Linked DNA regions of Drosophila melanogaster. The protein of the gene in region 2 interacts with the protein of the main gene of each other region in a pairwise test. Each region holds a gene or a part of one and is shown on either strand. Other genes may lie near its edges.

Region 1 (9,086 bases), on a different chromosome or scaffold from region 2:
GCCGTATTTCGGTCTGCACGATCAGAATCACTTGGTTTGTCTCTCGCGCAACCGGATGTATGTGAATCTGATGAATCTGGAGTCGGGCGATTGTGTGACCACCTTCAAGGCGGGTGAAGATCGTTTCCTCAATTCCCTGTTGGTCTCTGGAGATGGAAGGTAACAGGTTGACCGGCTTTGTACTGAAGTAGTAGTTGCTAATTCTGGTTTGCTCTCTAGAATCTTGGTGTGCGGTGATGAGACCCAGAAGCCTTTCCCACTGCTAGTTTGGCACCTTTCGCAGCGAAAGCTGCTCTATGACCTCCGAATTCCGCACCACGACTTCATCACCTCCCTCTCCGCGATCACCCACGAGGGTTCCTACGTTTGCGTGGTGGCCAAAGAGCTGAACGAGCCGACGACGCCCAACTTCATTGTGGTATACGACTTACAGAGCGGCACTCTGTTTAAGAAATGGAAGCCCGCCTGCAACACAGTTTCCCTGGCCATCTCCCAGGTGAACGCTTGCGTCATCGCCGGCCTAGAAGATGCCAAAATCCTAATCTGGGACCTGGTCACGGGCAACTGCAAGAGCACCTTGATCGGCCACAATGCACCGGTAACGTTCTTGAAGCTGGATCCATTGGGAAAGGTGCTGCTCTCCTACGACAAGGAGGGACGTGATTCGGCCGTCCGTATGTGGGAGTTGAATTCGGGTATGTACCACGGTCTTCGCCCTACTGAACTGTATAGTCATCCTTCTGGTCTTGCAGCCAAATCCCTGGCCGTGTTTAAGCCACCGGCGCAAGTGAGCACTTGTGAGATTCTGCCGAACGGAGCCTTCGTGGTGCTGGCTCTCAAGGATCGCAACTCCTTGCTGACCCTGGCTTTGAAGAACTACGGCGGAGGATCGGGCGCCCTCGACGATGACTGTGGCACTCTTTACGGCAATCCAGACAACCAGCACAAAGTTTTCGACTTGAGTAATTAAATCAATTAACGCTAGTTATCATTATTCAAATTATAAATGAAGCATAACAGGGTGCTAGACCGAGGAAGGCAGAACTCTGAATTATTATAAATATGGCAAACAAATTTCTCATGCATAATTCATTAGATGTATGTAAAATTCTTTGAGCAAATCTTACCAAATGTACAAAGCAAAGAAAATCCAAAGAACATTAAAAATTTAAAAATCTACCCAGCTAATGGTGGTTTTCTCTTTATGTGGTCGCAAACAGATACAAAAGGTTCTTGGCAAACTGAATAATCTCGGTCCCGCCGAGCTTGGAGGTGCCATAAATACGGTCCACGAAGGTGATGGGCACCTCGGCGATGGTGTAGCCGTGCTGTCTAGCCCGAACGAGCATCTCCATTTGGAACACGTAGCCTTTGGACACGCAGCTGGCAATGCATTTCTCCAGTACATCCTTCTTGTAGAGCCTGAAGGAGCCGGTCAAATCACTGGCGTTCGGACGTAAAAGCACCTGGGACAAAAAGTTGGCGCCGCGCGAGATGAGCTTGCGCTTGAAGTCCCAGCCAAAGACACCTCCATTTCCGGCATACCGAGTGCCGGATACAATGTCATAGTTGCCCTCCTGTTGCAGCTTAATGAACTCGGGAATGAATTTGGGCTGAAGCGGAAAAAATATAGCTTATTAGTTTATCTTATTATTAGTTTAACCCTGTTATCTAGACTCACATGATGACTCAAGTCCGCATCGATGATAACTATAAAGTCGCCGGTGGCATGTTTGATGCCATGTATGTAGGCCGTTCCGAGTCCCAATTTGGAGCCACGTGGTCTCAGCACAATCTTGTCCTCCCCGTAGATCTTCTGCAGGTCTTTGGCCACGTCTAGTGTTCCATCCGGACTACCATCATCAATCACAATCACCTCGTATTCCAAGCCGCTGCAAAGGGGGAGCAATTAATACCTGAATTTGCACCTTAGAGCAGCCGCTACTCACCTCGCCTTCATGTATTTCACAATTAGCCATATTATAATGGGCAAATTATCCTTTTCATTGTAAGTGGGCATCAAAATGCTGTATTTATGGCCATTTGTTGGCATTGTAATTGTTCTCAAGAACCGTGTAAATAATTTCAATTAAAACTACAAGAGTGTTGGTCAATTCAATAATACAAAACAGCTGGCTCGAATCGATAGCGAAGTCGATAGTGGCTAGATAGTTAGATAGTGGCTAAAACGTATCGAATTCCAAATGTAAATTTAAATGTGTTAAATAAATGATATTAAAATATCTAATTTGACAAAATATTGACTTTAATATAAAGCTGAACAAATAACATTCTATGTAGATGATGTATGTTTTTGGTATATTCGCCCAGCCGAATAAAGTTTTATAGTATACTTTCCAGAGCACAAGGGTAAAAATCATAAAAAATTGTGCGGTCACACAGTTCGCGAACGGCCGCTTTAAGAATAAGTGCTCACTTTATGTGCGGATTAGCGAATAAAAGTGGCAAAGTAGTGCGCTTTTGACGGCGCGACGTCAACATGGCTAAGAAAATACCTTTTAACGTGGTGTTCGCCTCAGGTAAACAAAACTTCGGATATATTATGAACTGAAAGCTGCAGAAAGATTTTTATTATTTATAGTTTTCTTATTTGTTTGCTTTATTTTGTGTGTTTTTTATGTTCTTAATTGCATTTTTAGTTGCGACAGGATTTGGCTGAGAGCTAAACGTCTTCCACCTCCCTTTCTTCCTTTAAAATTCGCTGCACTTGAGAAATCGATAAATCACGCATACGCCTAGTGCGCCAGGACGTTGGAATTTAAAATAGACTGGCGCTGCCTTTTTAATTGCAGCTAATCAGCTGGCAATAGTCCGATTTAAATATGGCCAGGATGCTAAATCAATTTTCCAAAGTCTCGGCCAATTTACCACGTCCTAAAACCACTGCAACCACGATGACTGTAATATTTCATTATAATATTGTCAGACTGCCGGGTTGTCGACTCTTTTTGTGTCTGCATGTGCAATTTGAGTTGCGGCCAGAGATTTAAATTTGGCCAAACGCCAAGCTCTTTATTTTCATGCTAGGACCTGACAAATTTTGGTTAGCCTCGATGGCCTCAGCCTCATCCTCCCCAGTATCACCTACTGGGCCTGCTCCGCCTTCTTTTTGGACCGATACTTAAGTTTAGTTAGAAGCGATGACACCGGCGCGATAATGGTGAGTCCATAAACAATGCCGGTAATCAGCATCATGCCGGGAATAAAGTCAGTATCCACATACTTGGTAAAGAATTTCGAATAGTAGCCCAGGTAAATGGCGCCCATTCCCAGACTAAAGGTGACCAATCCAAATAGATTATGGCGGAAGCGAAGCTCTGATGGAGGCATTACTTTCAGGGCGAACTTGGGCTGGAAATAGTTGACAAAACCGCCTACAATGCTGGCCGCGCAGAAAAAGGAAGCAGCTCCCCCTGCAAAATGTCAGCTTTAATCGGTTTTCCTGAATTAACCTAATTATTTACTCACCCACTCGGCCGTGCCAGGTGTTAAAGTGCACCTCCTTGCTGGAAAATTTACCCAGGGAGCCCAACAGCACCATGGAGCCACCCACAATCTGCAGGATGGCGTGGAAGCGCGACTTGTTTCGGTGCGACAGCCAACGGGTGAGCGGGTTCACTTTCGAATGCGACATCATGGCCTGGGCGATAAGGACGTGGAACTGTCGAGAGCAAGAAAAGCCTTTTAATTCAGCTCCAGTTCGATAAGATAACAAGTGACGTTGCATGTCCGTGTTATCCAGGTCGATCTAACACTATTGATTTTGTGGCCAAGTGCTTATCGCCGTGTACTCACTCCAGTCCCGGTCATAAACATATGCATGGCGGTATCCTTGAACTCCAGACTGCGCGCCAGTATGAAAAAGAAGACGGCCACCAGAAAGATCAGAATGTGGTTGATGCTATTCAGCAGGCTGTGGATTTGCAGCCAGGCAGTGGCTTTCGTGTAACCCTCCGCCATTTCAAAAGATTCAATAATACTATCTGATTCAGTAACAAAACACGAACGGCTGAGCGACGACTAAACTAGCATGTTAACATCGACATCGCTTAAATATAGAAGAGAAGAGCGTGGAACCTGAGGATAGAGAACAACAAGTTAGATTCGTTTGTACTCGTACAGCTGCGTTCGAATAAATAGTGATAGTTGAGAATTCTTAAAGTAACTCAAATGTTTTTGTTTATGCTTTCCATTTTATACGTTTCATCGCATATATAACTGATAACCTGTTTCTGAATATTTAATAGATTTTAAGGCTTATTATTTTGGGCACGCTTGAATGCTAGCTTTCGTTTTGACCGCTGCTGTTAGCTTAGCAACCGAAAGAGAACGAAACATAGTCCGATATCGTTATCATGTGCAACTATTTAGCTGAGTGTGCGAAAAAGAGACTTATTAAGAGAGTCATAATGGCCTGCGCCACCTATACATAGGTTATAACGTCATGAAAGTAATGATGATTGGATCGTTTCGCTTGCCTTTCAGACGAGGATGTTAACTTTCCGGCTAGCGAGTTAAACAATCACGGCCCCACAGTTCACGGATGGCGAAGTGCTCCGAACGGCAGCCTCACCTCACATGACATCATCCTCCGATTCCAGCAGCCGGCCAAGATCTATCGCATCCAGCTCCTGGCACACCAGTATCTTATACGTAAGTTAATGTGCTAAGTTAATTGGAATTGGCTACAAGCCTAATAAGTACCTAGAAATAATCAATGCCTGATCTTTAGTATGATCAAAGATGAACATATAAACAAACAGCTTGAGTATTCCCTATAATGTGTTGTTTTTTCGTTTAGCTGAGAAAGTAGAACTCTGGCTGCACTACTCGCCCAAATCCCTGCCCAGCACTCCATCCTCGCAGTACTTTGACTTTTTGGGTTTTGTTGCCCTGGCGGATAATGCCAACACGAACTACAAGTCTCGGGAGCTGCAGAGCGTAACCGTGTGTCCACGTAGGGGCACACATCTTAAGCTGCGTCTGATTGGCGTCCAAGGAAACGACTACAATGACACAGGCCAGATTTCCCTACTAGCGGTAAATGTCCTGGGCGAGGATCTGGAAGTGGGGCCAAATAATGGCAACGGAGAGGAGCACTTGGCCAACGAGGCCCCACCGTTGGACACGGCCACCGGAGAACTGGCCCTGGCCTCCGTCTGTGATGACCTGCTTTTCTCCATGTATGTGGAGGAGTCAATAGTGCAGACCATCCGAGAGTTGGAACAGCGAAAGATTTTGGCCGTTAACTCAGAAAGATTCGAGTACGCCCGCAAACTGAAGCTATGCATGACAGCTTTAAGGACTGCCGGAGAACGTTTGGGGCGCTATGCTCTGGCCAAGAGGCAGGCTGTTCAGCAGGAGGACTTTACCACGGCCAGGCTACGCAAGGAGCAGATCGAGATGTACCGGGCGGCAGTACTTCGACAATTGCAGGTGCATCAGCTTCTGGAACCGCAGGGTGTGACCTTAAGCTCCAATGACCAAAGCTGCGAGATCTATGCGGGTGGGAAGCCCAGTCTGCCATCGGCTCCTAGCCTGCAGGATGTGGCACAGGCACTTGCGGAAGCCACCTTCAGTCCCAAGAGCATGACGAGTCTCAGCTTAGAGGACAAATCCTCGACCGATGGCTCCCAGCCTGGTAACGACAATACGTTGACAGCTCCGGCACCTGCTCCAGCACCCGCTCCTGCGCCCACCTCTTTGCAGGCCACGCCCACTCCCACGCTGGGGGGCTGGCGCAAGTCCCACGACGAGCTGCCGCAGTCGCCACGTCTGCCTTCAAGGCACAGCTCACCAATGTCCAGCCGACAGGGATCGCTGCGCAGGCGCAACAAGAGCGTTCCACGAAACTCCTACGAAGACTACGAGGAGCGGGCCATTCCCACGCTGCGACAGTGAGTAGCGGGCGTAGAGAGTCGTAATCGTTGTCTGGGTGTCTAGTGAATACGTAAACAATTGTGGAATAGTAATTACTTCGTTTGTTTACTGGAAACAGCTGTCTATTACAGTGTTGCATGATAACCGGTACTCTTAGTTTGAATGTTTGTCAACACTAGCGACCGTTAGAAACAACACCCGTTACTTTTTTTAATTTAAGATTTAACGCTCGCCCAGAATTTCAAAGAACGAAAGAGAATCTATTAGCTTAATTTTAAGTAAAGCCGTTTTATCTGCTCTAAACACATGAAAAGGATTTATCTTTTTAAAGCAAAAGCAAAAATTCTTTATATATTGAAATTAGGTATTTTTGAGATACTTTTAAATGTTAGGCTTTTTGACAGAAATTTTGCTTTTAGATATTTTAAAAAGTATTTAAAATTTGCTTTTAGAGAAAAGTATTTATGTTTTTATTAACAACTTAGAAACTTTTATAAAAGATTAAAAATAGTTTGAACGGTTTCATAGTTAATTTCATATAATGAAATTTCGAAACTATACACAAAACTTTAAATTAGGCGTTATTTGAACGCATTTGAAAGTAACATGTTGTTAGATTTACCTTTAATCGTACTTACCTTTCTACTCCTATATGTATATTGTAACCGCATCCGTAAACGTTGCCATTCCGATACAACAAACACAAACCGCTCACAGTTCAAATACTAATGAATTTTTAAGGGAGTGCCAAGGCAACGCGCTACTGGAAGCGGATCCGAACCGTGGGCGTTCGCGCCTGAACGACCGCGAGCGTCGCCAGGCAGCGCTTCCCATCCTGGTCTTCGGCAATGAGCTGGTGAGTCCCCCATTAAATCCAATAGATAACATATTCAATACGTGCCCTACATATGTATATTCCCAGGTGGAGCAGTTCTATTCGCGTCAGTTTCAGGACCGCGAGGATGGCTTGATGCGTCTGCGTAACTTCCTAAAGGAGCACGACCTGTTAGAGGCGTCGAGCAACGAGCACGCTGCCAGTCCCAACAAAGTGGCCCGCAGCGCCGCCCTTCTGCTGCATCGCGCTGTAAGAGATGCCGTTTACTCCGTGTTTAGCCAAGCTACTGAGACGGTACGCATGCTGTTCCTAGAGTATGTGCCCGGTCGAGTTTCCCCCAACGAGGTGGCACGTTGCGTGGACCGCCTGCTGCCCGAATTGCTGGCCAAGTCCGGCGATCCATCTGCTCGATTGCACACTCTGGCCCAGCACACGATCCTAAGCATCGCCGCCTGTCCGGAGGTGGCGGAGCAGCACCTGGTTGCGCCAGCACTATCACGAAGCGTTGGATCCGGAACCCACCAGCGACTGGCAATGAGTCGGCTGCAGATGCTGGAGCAGCTGGTCAACACTCAGGGCATTAGCACGGACAAGCATAGTGGACTCACCTGCAGGGCATTGTCCGAGTGCGGCTGCTCCGGCATCCATCATCCAGCGGAGCCTGTGCGAAAGGTGGCCGAGCGCATCCTGCTGCTCGTCTACAAGGTGAATCCCCGACTGGTGCGCAAGCAGTTACCTCCGGATGACGACATCACGCGTCGCAATCTCTTGTACCGCCAACTCTTCACCGAATTTGACAAGTTGGATCTGGACCGCAAGCAGGAGCTGCTGGAGGCTAGCAAGTATGGCGGGGGTCACAGCTCGGGCGATGCGGCAACACCGCCGGCGGATAAGGCGTCCACCAGCTCAGATGCCTCTCGACTGATGAATAGCCGCAGTGGTCATAACCTAGGCCCAATGGCCAGCTCCAGTAATGGATATGCCAGCTGCAATGGAAAGCAGCAGTACAACGAGCAGCTCAAGCGCTCCATGCTATCCGTGAGCAACTCGCGCAAGGGATCCGCTTCCAACTCGGAGTCCACTGAAGACAACACACCCAAAATGTGTGTAGTAAAATTGAATTCTTCAAGGATCCGCAATAATATTAATACTCTTTTAGACGTTGCCCCTTTTGCGACTGGTCGTGTGCCGGCAGTGACGCTACTCAGTTGGACCGACACTACTGGAAGGCGTGTCCTTTCCTCACCAAGTGCCCACAATGCAGTCAAGTGCTGGAGGTTGCTGCTCTGAACTACCACCTGACAAGTAGGTCTGCAATATAATACCGTAGGATAACTAATATTGTGAATATTCCCCAGCGGAATGCGATGCCAAGGAGAGCTACGTGGTCTGTGTCCGTTGCACTGAATCGGTGCACAAGCAGCTATATGAACTACATCAGATGGAGGACTATTGTCGGGGTAGAAACTTGAAATTGAGATAAATTCTAGAGTCACTATATCACCATTTCCCCTCTCCAGAACTGAAAACGGGTGCTGCTCGATGTCCCCTTTGTCATGACGATGTTCACCTTCCCCAAGACGGCGGCTGGAAATTGCATCTCCTCAGCGCCGGCGGCTGTCCCGGGAATATACGCAAGAGGAATCTCAAGAAGTCAAATTAGAAAGCGTACACTTAATCGATCTATTGGCCTAGCGAATTAGCGAATTTATTAGAGCAACTATTCTAGTCAGGATACCTACTCAAGGAAGCTATCTAATTTCAGTCGCAGCAGCCGAACTCATTTAGTTAAACAACTAAACCAATTCGTTTCTCACTCAGAGCACTTAAGTTAGTCACATTTTGTTAAGCCGATTAGTTAGATCTATTATGTGCATTCTTTTGTATTTTTTGTACGCAATGTGATTTGTTAAATGTAACGAGAATTTTTGAAACGTCCTTACAATAAATAAAGCCCATCCATACCGTTTTAAACATGAATTTGAGTGGTTTGAATGTATTACTCTAGTCCATAAATGTGTTACCTTGCTTGCATTAAATTTCCAATTTATATGCTTGGAGTGCATTCCTTAATAAATTTTTAATTGCTTTGCATATAAGGAATATGCAACACAATTGCACGATTTACCAACCATAAATGGTTATGTGTGGGCAATGCAGTCATTCAAATAGAAACAACTGCAGTCCACAGCATTAGGAAAATGCAAATAAAAGATCAAATAATATAAATTGTCAAACATGGGTATTTTAAACTTTAATATCAAACAACTTATCAAGAAATTAACTACTTCGTTTAATTTAATCATTTTTACATACGTAACTAGAAAATCTAACATTAATTGCTCTTGAT
Region 2 (8,860 bases):
ATACTTTCTGTTATATATATTTAATAAGTACTTTAAATGGCAATACTATTGGATAAATTTTCTGTATTCACAGTCCAATTTAGTTAGGTATAAAATTATTTTGGCAAGTGCATCGTTTTGCCAAACTGCCAAGACATTGTGGGCGAACCTCCGTTGCAATCATATGAGCGGAACCGTGTGGGCCACACATTTGCATGCATTTTAATTGGAATTCCCAGACACTGGTTATGATATTACTTTTCACTTACCGAAACCAGCAGACATTGCGACTCACGACAGACTCCGCAACAGCCAAAGAATGCGCCCAATGTGATCAGTATGCCGATGGCGAGGAAAACATACAGGGCTATGTGATAATGATTGTAGTTCTGTGTCATCGACAGCATAAATGTGGGATCCGTCAGCATCCAAACGGAGGTCACCACGATGGTCAGTCCGATGAGCTGCAAGCGAAAAGAATACAAAATATAGTAGAGCATTACCTATTTTTACACATTTTCGCTGTAATTCTCAAATTGTTGCATCCATCTCACGCTGGGCACACGCGTCAATGACGCCATCTGGCGGCAAGGCGGCAATTAAAGTGGGAGACTGCCCCGCCCAGTTTCGCCTTGCTTTAAACTTCTATAGTTTCATACATATGATGTCAGCTTAGTTGGACGCAGACTATATACATAGCAACTGCTGTTGCGCTTCTTTTAATTTAATTAAAGGCAGTAAACAGAAACCAAGTACAAATTACAATTTTCCCCATTCCATTCAATTTGTTAAAAAAAAAATCAGTAATTCTATCCAGTATACAGATTCAAAGGCAGCTTTTTGAGCTCCGAACTTTCAAAACCCGATAAGAAAAGGCCCATTAAGTTTGAAAATCAATGATGCGATAAAATTTGGTTTAAAGTTAAATTTTGGCCTTCATCGCCAAGACATACTGTATGTATATACATATAGAAGTGGCAAGACATTGATCCCAAGCGAGAATATGAGAATTGCGAGCTCGTGTTATCTCACTTCTCGGGTTATCAGCAAACGAAATATGAACTTTTCTTTGGATTTCCGCTAAAAGAATTCCGGTAATGTATTTCTTCTTAAATTTTCCTACCCAGATATTAAACACTAAACTTGCTATTGCCAATCCATCCACCAGAAAAATGTTGTTCCGCTCGTGCAATGAGTAAGAGAATCTAATATAGAGGTAATGACTTAATGGGTTGGTCGAGGTGTCTATGCAAGTTCATTAATTATTCAGCAAAATTATTCATCGCAGGGAAATTGAGTGTGCGATGAGAGCTAATCAAGAGATGTAAACAAGTGCACATATTACATGGGAAATATGTAAATTTAGAACCACTTAAGAACCGATGGCTAACTGAGAAGCATTTCCAAATACAAAACACTTCTTATCTCGTATTTTTTCTCAGCCCGCAAGCTTTTGTAATTGCCAAGAGCATCAGTGCTTTCCGATAAGATTACGCAGTGGATCTCGCAATAAGCAAATATCTATTTAACTTAAAGATACAGCAAAATATAAGATACAGTTTTTGGCGCCCAGGAAAAACGGATGAAAAAGCATGAGGAAGTCTCGTAAATTTCATGAAAATCTTATGAAATATAAGAGAAGCGGAGACCGGCTTTTATGTGGGTGGTCCACGAAAGAGAGAGCTGCCATAAAGTGAGCGAGACAAAAAGTGTGCCACAAAGTGCACGATATGCTGGCCCTAAAGTTCATGAATGTGCATGTGTGCAGCTAACGGAAAAACTACTCATGGAAACGTAATACAATGTTGCCCCATTCGAGGGCAGTTTATTGAGTAAGTACATTGTAACCAGAAGCCCTTGTTTGCATAGATTTTACTTATTTTTCCAGGTCAGGTTTTCGGGTATGGATCAGTAACATAATCTTGAATTTGTTCATGTGTTGAATTAAAAAAAAAAATGTTTCTGAAGAAGAGGTTTATTCCTAGAGCTCTTATAAAGTATGTGTATGTATATACTACTTTGGATAAACCTCAATTCCCTTATCCTTTTAGGGAACAAAAGTTGACCTCGTTTTGAATCAGTCCCATTATCCCTGAACGAACTGAATCCACGCCTTGTTTGTAGCTCTGTTTGTTGGAATTTTTACGATTCCCCGAACGTTTTCACACACATATATTTTTACACATCTGACACTATGTCGCGTGTCCAGGACAAACAAACAAAAATCCTGCCGAATGGGCCAATAAATGTACAGAGTCCTTCGTTGACCCAGTTTTCAGAGCCGAGGCGTCGAAAGCGGAAAACGAGAGAGCATTTTACTGCTGCTAAATTGCAAAAAAAAAAATAAAATGGGGCCAAAAGGCAGCTGGGCTTGCATTGCATGTCCAGTCACAGTTTTGTCCCACAATTAACCGCATCGATGGCAAATCGCAGCCAACAGCCATCATGCATCAGCCATAAGCTGAAAATACAAACTGAAAAATGAATGAAGCGCCACTCATGAATAATTGAGTGAAAAATAGCACAGCGAATTAAGTATGTAGATGTGACATGTCACAGCGAATTGAAAATAGATACAGGCCAGCTTCGTTACTTGGAGAAATATTTTTAAATATTATTTTATTCACAGCAAAAGATTACATTTTTTTCAGGAATTTAAGAATTCTGCACTATGGAAGTCTGACTGTGCTGAAATAAATGGTTTTTTTAGTGGGTGGACAGGATAGGATTGTCAGATGGTCGACCGAATATTTGGAAATCTTTCAGTTTTGGTCACTGTCAACTTCAATGACGACAGCGCCGGCCGTTTAGCATTTTAGACGCTTATGGCATAGGCCTCCCCCAGCATCTTGGATGTGGGATATCGGCCCCATTGGAGCGTCAGCGTCCTCAGAGATCGTGGCGTTTGATCACGATGCCCCACGGCGACGATGAAAATGGAAATGTTTGGAAATCGATGCACAGTGGAGAGCGAGATTCAAAACTAATCGGACAGTGGTCATTTTTTGCGAAGTTATATAAAAATACTATTATTAAATTTATTATGGCTTTGTGGGGTAATTGATAACATGCCCTGGCTAAGAATAGCCTCAAAACAATGTATAAAAAGTCTTATATAAAATAATATCTGACGCACTTTCATCCATAAATCGCTCTAAAAATAGTTCAAACGATTAGTGAAACGAACTGCATCACAAACACATCACAATTTCTATCGCTCATTGTTCCTCCACTGAAATCAAACACACCACTGTGCATCCAACAACAACAACGATGAATACTAAAACATCACAGATCAAGGAACATTACACAGAAACCAATTATTGGATATAATCTTATTGGGATCGGTTAATTTTAATTTTTTTTACATGACATATATACAATAAACGAAAAATAATTGAAAGGTATTCGAAAGTTTCCAAACACGAAACTTGGCTAGGCATCAGTATTTTCTTTCTGTGTACAACAACGAAAAACTGAACGGACGCGTAAGTTTGTGTTGTTCCTCGCCCGTATTCGAAAATAGCTTTTGACTAATAAATACTATAGACAGAAATCGAAAAAAGGCAGCAACAATCAACAAACGAACGAAAAAAAAATTAGAAATCAGCCCGCATAAGAATCAAAATTTTAAATTTGTTGCCCAAAGGAAAAGCGAAACTGATTTCGCAAGCCGCGGAAGACAAGAGGAAACCCCAAGAAAAACTCAAGGAAACTCAAAACAAACGCAAACAATCGCTGTGGCAGATAGTAATTGAATGGAAACAATTGAAAGCCTAACGAGGCTATGTTGAAAGTCGAAAATTGCGTAAAACAACAAGCAGATAAGTTGGCCAAAGAAAGTAAAACCCTTTTTTTTGGGGTGAGGAGAGGTCCTTTTTTACCGAATTAAGCCAACCGAAGTTTGTAAAAATATCAACGGCACGTATACGTTATAAAAATAATAAAACAAAAAAAGAGAGACAGGAAGAGACAGAAGCAAAAGAAAAACAACTGAACAAACATGTGGAGGGAAAAGAAAACAGTGGGAGGTGGGAATGGAGATGCTTAAATGTTTATCTGTCTGTGTGTGTGTGTGTCCCCTCCCACAACGGAACTTCTATTGTTTTTATGCGGGAGTACGAGCAGAGCGGTAGGGAGTGCGAGCGGGAGATGGAGAGATACAGTGATGTCGCTTTTAAAAGCCAGTTGAAGTTTTGAAGTTATAAATGGTAGAAAATAATTTAAAGTCAAATAGTTCATAACAAACAAAACCGATTTGTTTAATTTCAAAAAGAAAAACCCTTCTATTAATGTTTTTAATTAACCGCGTACTTGAATATTTATATAATCTTGTCCATTTAATGTTTTTAAGCCCGCTCATTAAAAAAAAAATATTTAAGTTAATATATTATTATATTTATTTTATTATTTATTTATTTATATTTTTTACTTCCTTTTCGATTAAATATTTCAAGCCGTACTTAAATAAGTTTCAACTTATGTTTTGGGCACCTCTGGGATCGAGAGAGTGGAAAGAGGGACTGAAAGAGCGGTAGGACTCCAAAGAGCGTGCGCACGGCTCCTCCCTCCGCCCGCGCGCCAAGCGTGAGAAAGAGGGGCGTAGGGAATACACAACACACACACATTCGCTCACGCAACACCCACACACACGCGCGCGAAAAGGAGGTCCGTGTGTTCCAGTTGTTGTTGTGATGGGAGAGAACCGAATCTCGCATTGTTGTTGTTGCTGCTGCTGCTGGAATCTACATACCCAGAATAAAATGTTTATAAGGACCATCAGATATTTGACGCACGAACAGCAGCCGTTGAGACCCATGGCGCGGATTGATATTCTTAAATAGGTAACTCCTTAAAAAGTAGCTGCAATTTAACTGGTTTTTCAACCACTTGGAGATGCTCTTTTTCCAAGGAACCCCGAACTGCAGTGTCGCCTGCACTTTTCGACCTTTTGCACTTTTTCAAAACACCCGCTCGATTGTACTATATTTTTCAAATTTTTTTAAAATTTCCCGTGCTAAAATCCACCGATTTGAGCCACTGTTTGCGCGATTGGCCGTTGCACCCGATTTGTTTTAAAAATTTTATTTGTGCATCGAGGCGTCCGTCCAACGTAAAATTCTTGTATCAGTGCGACCATTAGCTCGGCCGTTCAAATATACCAGCGGGTATAGAAAGGCTAAAAACCGAAAAGTGGTGACCCTTAGAAGATACCAAAGAAGTGGTTGAATAACTTTGATGAGGCTTAGCATGGCTTGCAACCTGCTTGGATTTGCAGCCTATACGCAAACCAAAGTGGCCTATCGATATTTTGGATAAGTTCTATTGCCAATTTTCCCAATAAAATAAAAACTTCACTTGAATGTTAAAAGTAATTTAGTTTCAGTGTTTACATAATGTTCAAATAACCTTTTGATTGTTATTATGAAAGTTAAAAATTAAAAATTTAGATATTCTAACTAACTATTATCCCCAATGTTTCAGCTATAATCACCATATTTAAAGTAGATTTCATTTTAAAGTATAAATTTGTGGTTGTTTACATTATTTTAACATGTCTATTTAATTATTACTATGAAAGTGGGTAATTGAAAATTAGGATATTCCAGGTTTTTGATTTACTTTGGCTATGATTTTCCCAAAATATTTAAATCTGTAAATGTAAACAGTTTGAAATGTGACCTTAATAGTTCATGCTTTGTTCATTCTTCTGCGAAACGGTCACACTGTTCGCGCAGGCGAAAATGGCCTAAAGCGTGAAATGTTTAATTCGTTGTTGTTTCTCCTCCGCAATAGTTACTAATAGAAACAAATGCAAAATGGCTGTCTAACGTTTAAGTGCAGCGACCGCCGAAGATCGTGGAAATATGCATGAAAAGCGGCTCGCAGGCAAATGAAAGGCGCGTGAAAATGTAGCAGACACCTTTTTATCGCGAAAACGAACATCGGTGCAAAGGGAAAAACAAAAACCAAGGAAAATACAGCCAAACGCGAATGTGAATGTGAAGGCAAAGTAAGCGAAAAGTCCCCCAACTTTTTTGGGGAGTATCGAGTGCACCACATACGTTTTTCAATATATATTTCGATTGCATTGAAATCAGAAACATGACAATTTCCCCCCTTCCCTTATTGCTGTTGTTGTTGTTGTCGGCTTGTTGCAAGTTTGTGTGAGTGTGTCTTGTAATTTTGTTACGCAGTGGAGCGAAGTTGGAGTTTTGTGGAATGGAAATGGAATGAAGTGGAACGAAGTGGAGTGTAACCAAACACGAAATGGAAAAACGAGGAAAAAACCTTAAAGCGCAGCCTAAGCTTTAGTCGTACTGAAAATTTCTCAAGCGCTGCAAGCCAGTCTTTGCCAAAGTAAAGCCCCTACCTCCCCCCCCCTCTTTTTGCATAATAAACGAAAAACGTTGCGCCCACTTTACGCACTTGTTTTTATGCTTTCCGCGTTCAGTGCACTTAAAAACTTAATTGGTTCCCCCGTCGGCGGTGCTAATGTAGCGCATTTCACTGTTTTCAACGTAAATATAATTATATTAGCAAACGTTTACAAGCAAGATTGGATTAGTAATATGTAGTAGCTTGCTAGAAATCCTAATAAAAATGTGAATAATAATATATACGGTTTCATTTAATATTTTGAAAAGTTTTAATAGAAAAAAGTACAGCTTTTCTAAAAGCTACCCTTATATTGTGTTTCTTTCTCACGAAATAAACTACTGTGTAGAAGGTAGCGGTAAATATTTATGTTTAAAGTCCACTCTCTTCTATGTTAGAGGTATACCCCTCGCCCCTTGGCCACTGCGAATGCTGTATCTTCGCCAATTTCACTTTCACATTCGTCGTGGGCAGTTACAGCGAAGCCAATTGCTTGGTACTTCTTTTATTTTGTTTTTGTTCCCCACTTTGGGGCGTTTCAAATTAGAAAGTGTTTGCGTGTGTGTGTGCGCATATGTAAGTTTATGCGTGAGTGATGCGAGCGGCGTTTTCTCAATGATTTTGGCTAATTATGTAGCTCATTTTCGATAACCGCTTTAAACTGTGAAAATTGTGTCAACTTTGGATACTGTAACTTTACACCCGCCACATAATTTCATTTTAATTAGCGCTCGTTAACAGTTTTCCATCTCCCCTCTCCATTTTGTCGCCCTCTTGAAATTGCAATGTGTGGGAAACTTAATTTGTTGCATCTAGGAGGTGAAAGAGGGAGATAGAAACTGTGGGAGACGAGAAAAATTAAATGAACAACACTAATTCAAATGCAAAATGAAATGTACAGACACAGATACAGTTGTGTAACAATTGTTAATTAATTAACAGAAACTTTTAAACTCAATTTTTGAAAGACATGAATATTGAATTCTATATCAGGATTATTTAAAGCACTAAGCAAAGCGTAGTTAAAATGGATTAAACCTGTTTTCAAATATAAAATGAGAAGAAATGTGGGTTATTTGGGCTCAAACAAGTTTTAATTAACCTGTAAAAATACGTGACATTTTGTATATTTCTTGATTTCGGAGCTTTAAAGAATCCCTATAAATTTGGCCATCGCTTCATTTATACATTATTACATACATATGTACATATGTACGAATTTCAATCATTTACATTCCGCACACAAACATGAAAAGAGACACCAATACACATGCACCTACATTTGCCAACAGTCAACATAAATTAGTGCGAGCAACGGCACTTGGCAACATGCAACAATAGCAACAAAAGCGACATGATTGAAGCAACAACAACACCGACCAAGGAAGTTGCCAACTGTCCCGCTTTGTCTCTCTTATTGTCATTCGCAACTATCCCGCTCTGTCTCCCTATTGTCATTAGCGAGTTAGCAGAGCGCCGCTCTAATAACAGCGCCTTTACATTTCCATTTGCCAAGTGCAACAACCCTGCGTGGGTGTATGAGTGCGTTGTGTGTGTGAAAATACTATAGAATTGGTGGCAATAACAATGGAAAACTGGCATCGTGGAAAACTGGGTAACGCTTTTATAATTTATTCCAATTTTAACTGCTTTTTACGGCCTTCTTCTTGTCTGTTAATTGTTGTTATTGCTGCCTGTAAATCCCATGCGGACAATCTGTTATTTTCTCACACCGGTTGTTGTTATTATAATTTCCCTACACAGAAAACAAAACGTGTTCAATTTAAAAAAAAACGTTTCTTATTGTTTTAGAGATATCTATTTGTGAAATATGGAAATTTATGATGAACGTTTTTGATAATTATTTTAATAAAATTAACTTTCAAAATGATGTGGTATAATATTTTTCTCTGTTTCTTCACTCAATGTCTAGAAAGGAAAGGTGCATTTGTAGCTTTAAATAAGAAATGGGGAAATAAAATATAATTTCTATATATAGACAGAGTCCATACATGTGTATGTTTATATGATATGTCTGGACGCGTTTTTACCGCTATTTTTAAAAGTGTAAAGGTAAACATTCTTCCAAAAACAACATTGCGTTTTCCGCAGTTTCTGAGTTTTATTTTCATTACATAGTTTATTGCCTTGAAATAGGGGGTCAGTTACAGGAGTGTGATATATTCATTAATATTTAAAAAAAAAAAGCTATAATAAACAAATTAAAAATGCAGGAATGACATTTGCAGTTTATGAATGTCATATATAAACATTTATTAGTTTTCTATCCATTAGTTTAAATGATGTTCAATTTATAAGCGTATACAAATTTCTCATTTTAAGATATGTATCTTGTGGATACAATAAATGTGCACATAGCCCTGCTGCATGTCTCAAGTTTCTTAAGATCAAGTACTTTCTGGTGCTTAAAATGAATTTCGGGCTGCTGACGATTCTAAATTGTACTTCACTTTTTAGAGTGTGTATGGCGTTCTAATTTGCT

Evidence for each region. Proteins that work in one complex are often made in the same cells at the same time.
Region 1: the proteins of Tsp96F (region 2) and CG10165 interact in a two-hybrid assay, tested with the Drosophila melanogaster proteins (one large-scale study listed by BioGRID).

Annotation. Positions count from the first base shown.
Region 1 is NT_033779.5:19,524,272-19,533,357, forward strand, and holds CG10165 (uncharacterized protein), read right to left. Parts: upstream 6,035-9,086; 5' UTR 5,998-6,034; exon of another isoform or gene 5,919-5,997; coding exon of another isoform or gene 4,823-5,918; intron 4,726-4,822; exon of another isoform or gene 4,675-4,725; coding exon of another isoform or gene 4,507-4,674; exon of another isoform or gene 4,500-4,506; intron 4,099-4,499; 5' UTR 3,982-4,098; coding exon 3,817-3,981; intron 3,683-3,816; coding exon 3,490-3,682; intron 3,435-3,489; coding exon 3,106-3,434; 3' UTR 2,639-3,105; downstream 1-2,638. Other genes in the region: CG10132 (uncharacterized protein), read left to right, coding at 1-159, 220-695, 753-970; Dpm1 (Dolichyl-phosphate mannosyltransferase subunit 1), read right to left, coding at 1,203-1,613, 1,682-1,892, 1,950-2,053; CG10137 (uncharacterized protein), read left to right, coding at 2,501-2,540, 4,507-4,674, 4,823-5,918, 6,643-6,757, 6,824-7,839, 7,896-8,041, 8,095-8,196, 8,257-8,399.
Region 2 is NT_033777.3:25,876,284-25,885,143, forward strand, and holds the start of Tsp96F (tetraspanin 96F), read right to left. Parts: upstream 5,145-8,860; 5' UTR 4,799-5,144; coding exon 4,733-4,798; intron 444-4,732; coding exon 249-443; intron 1-248.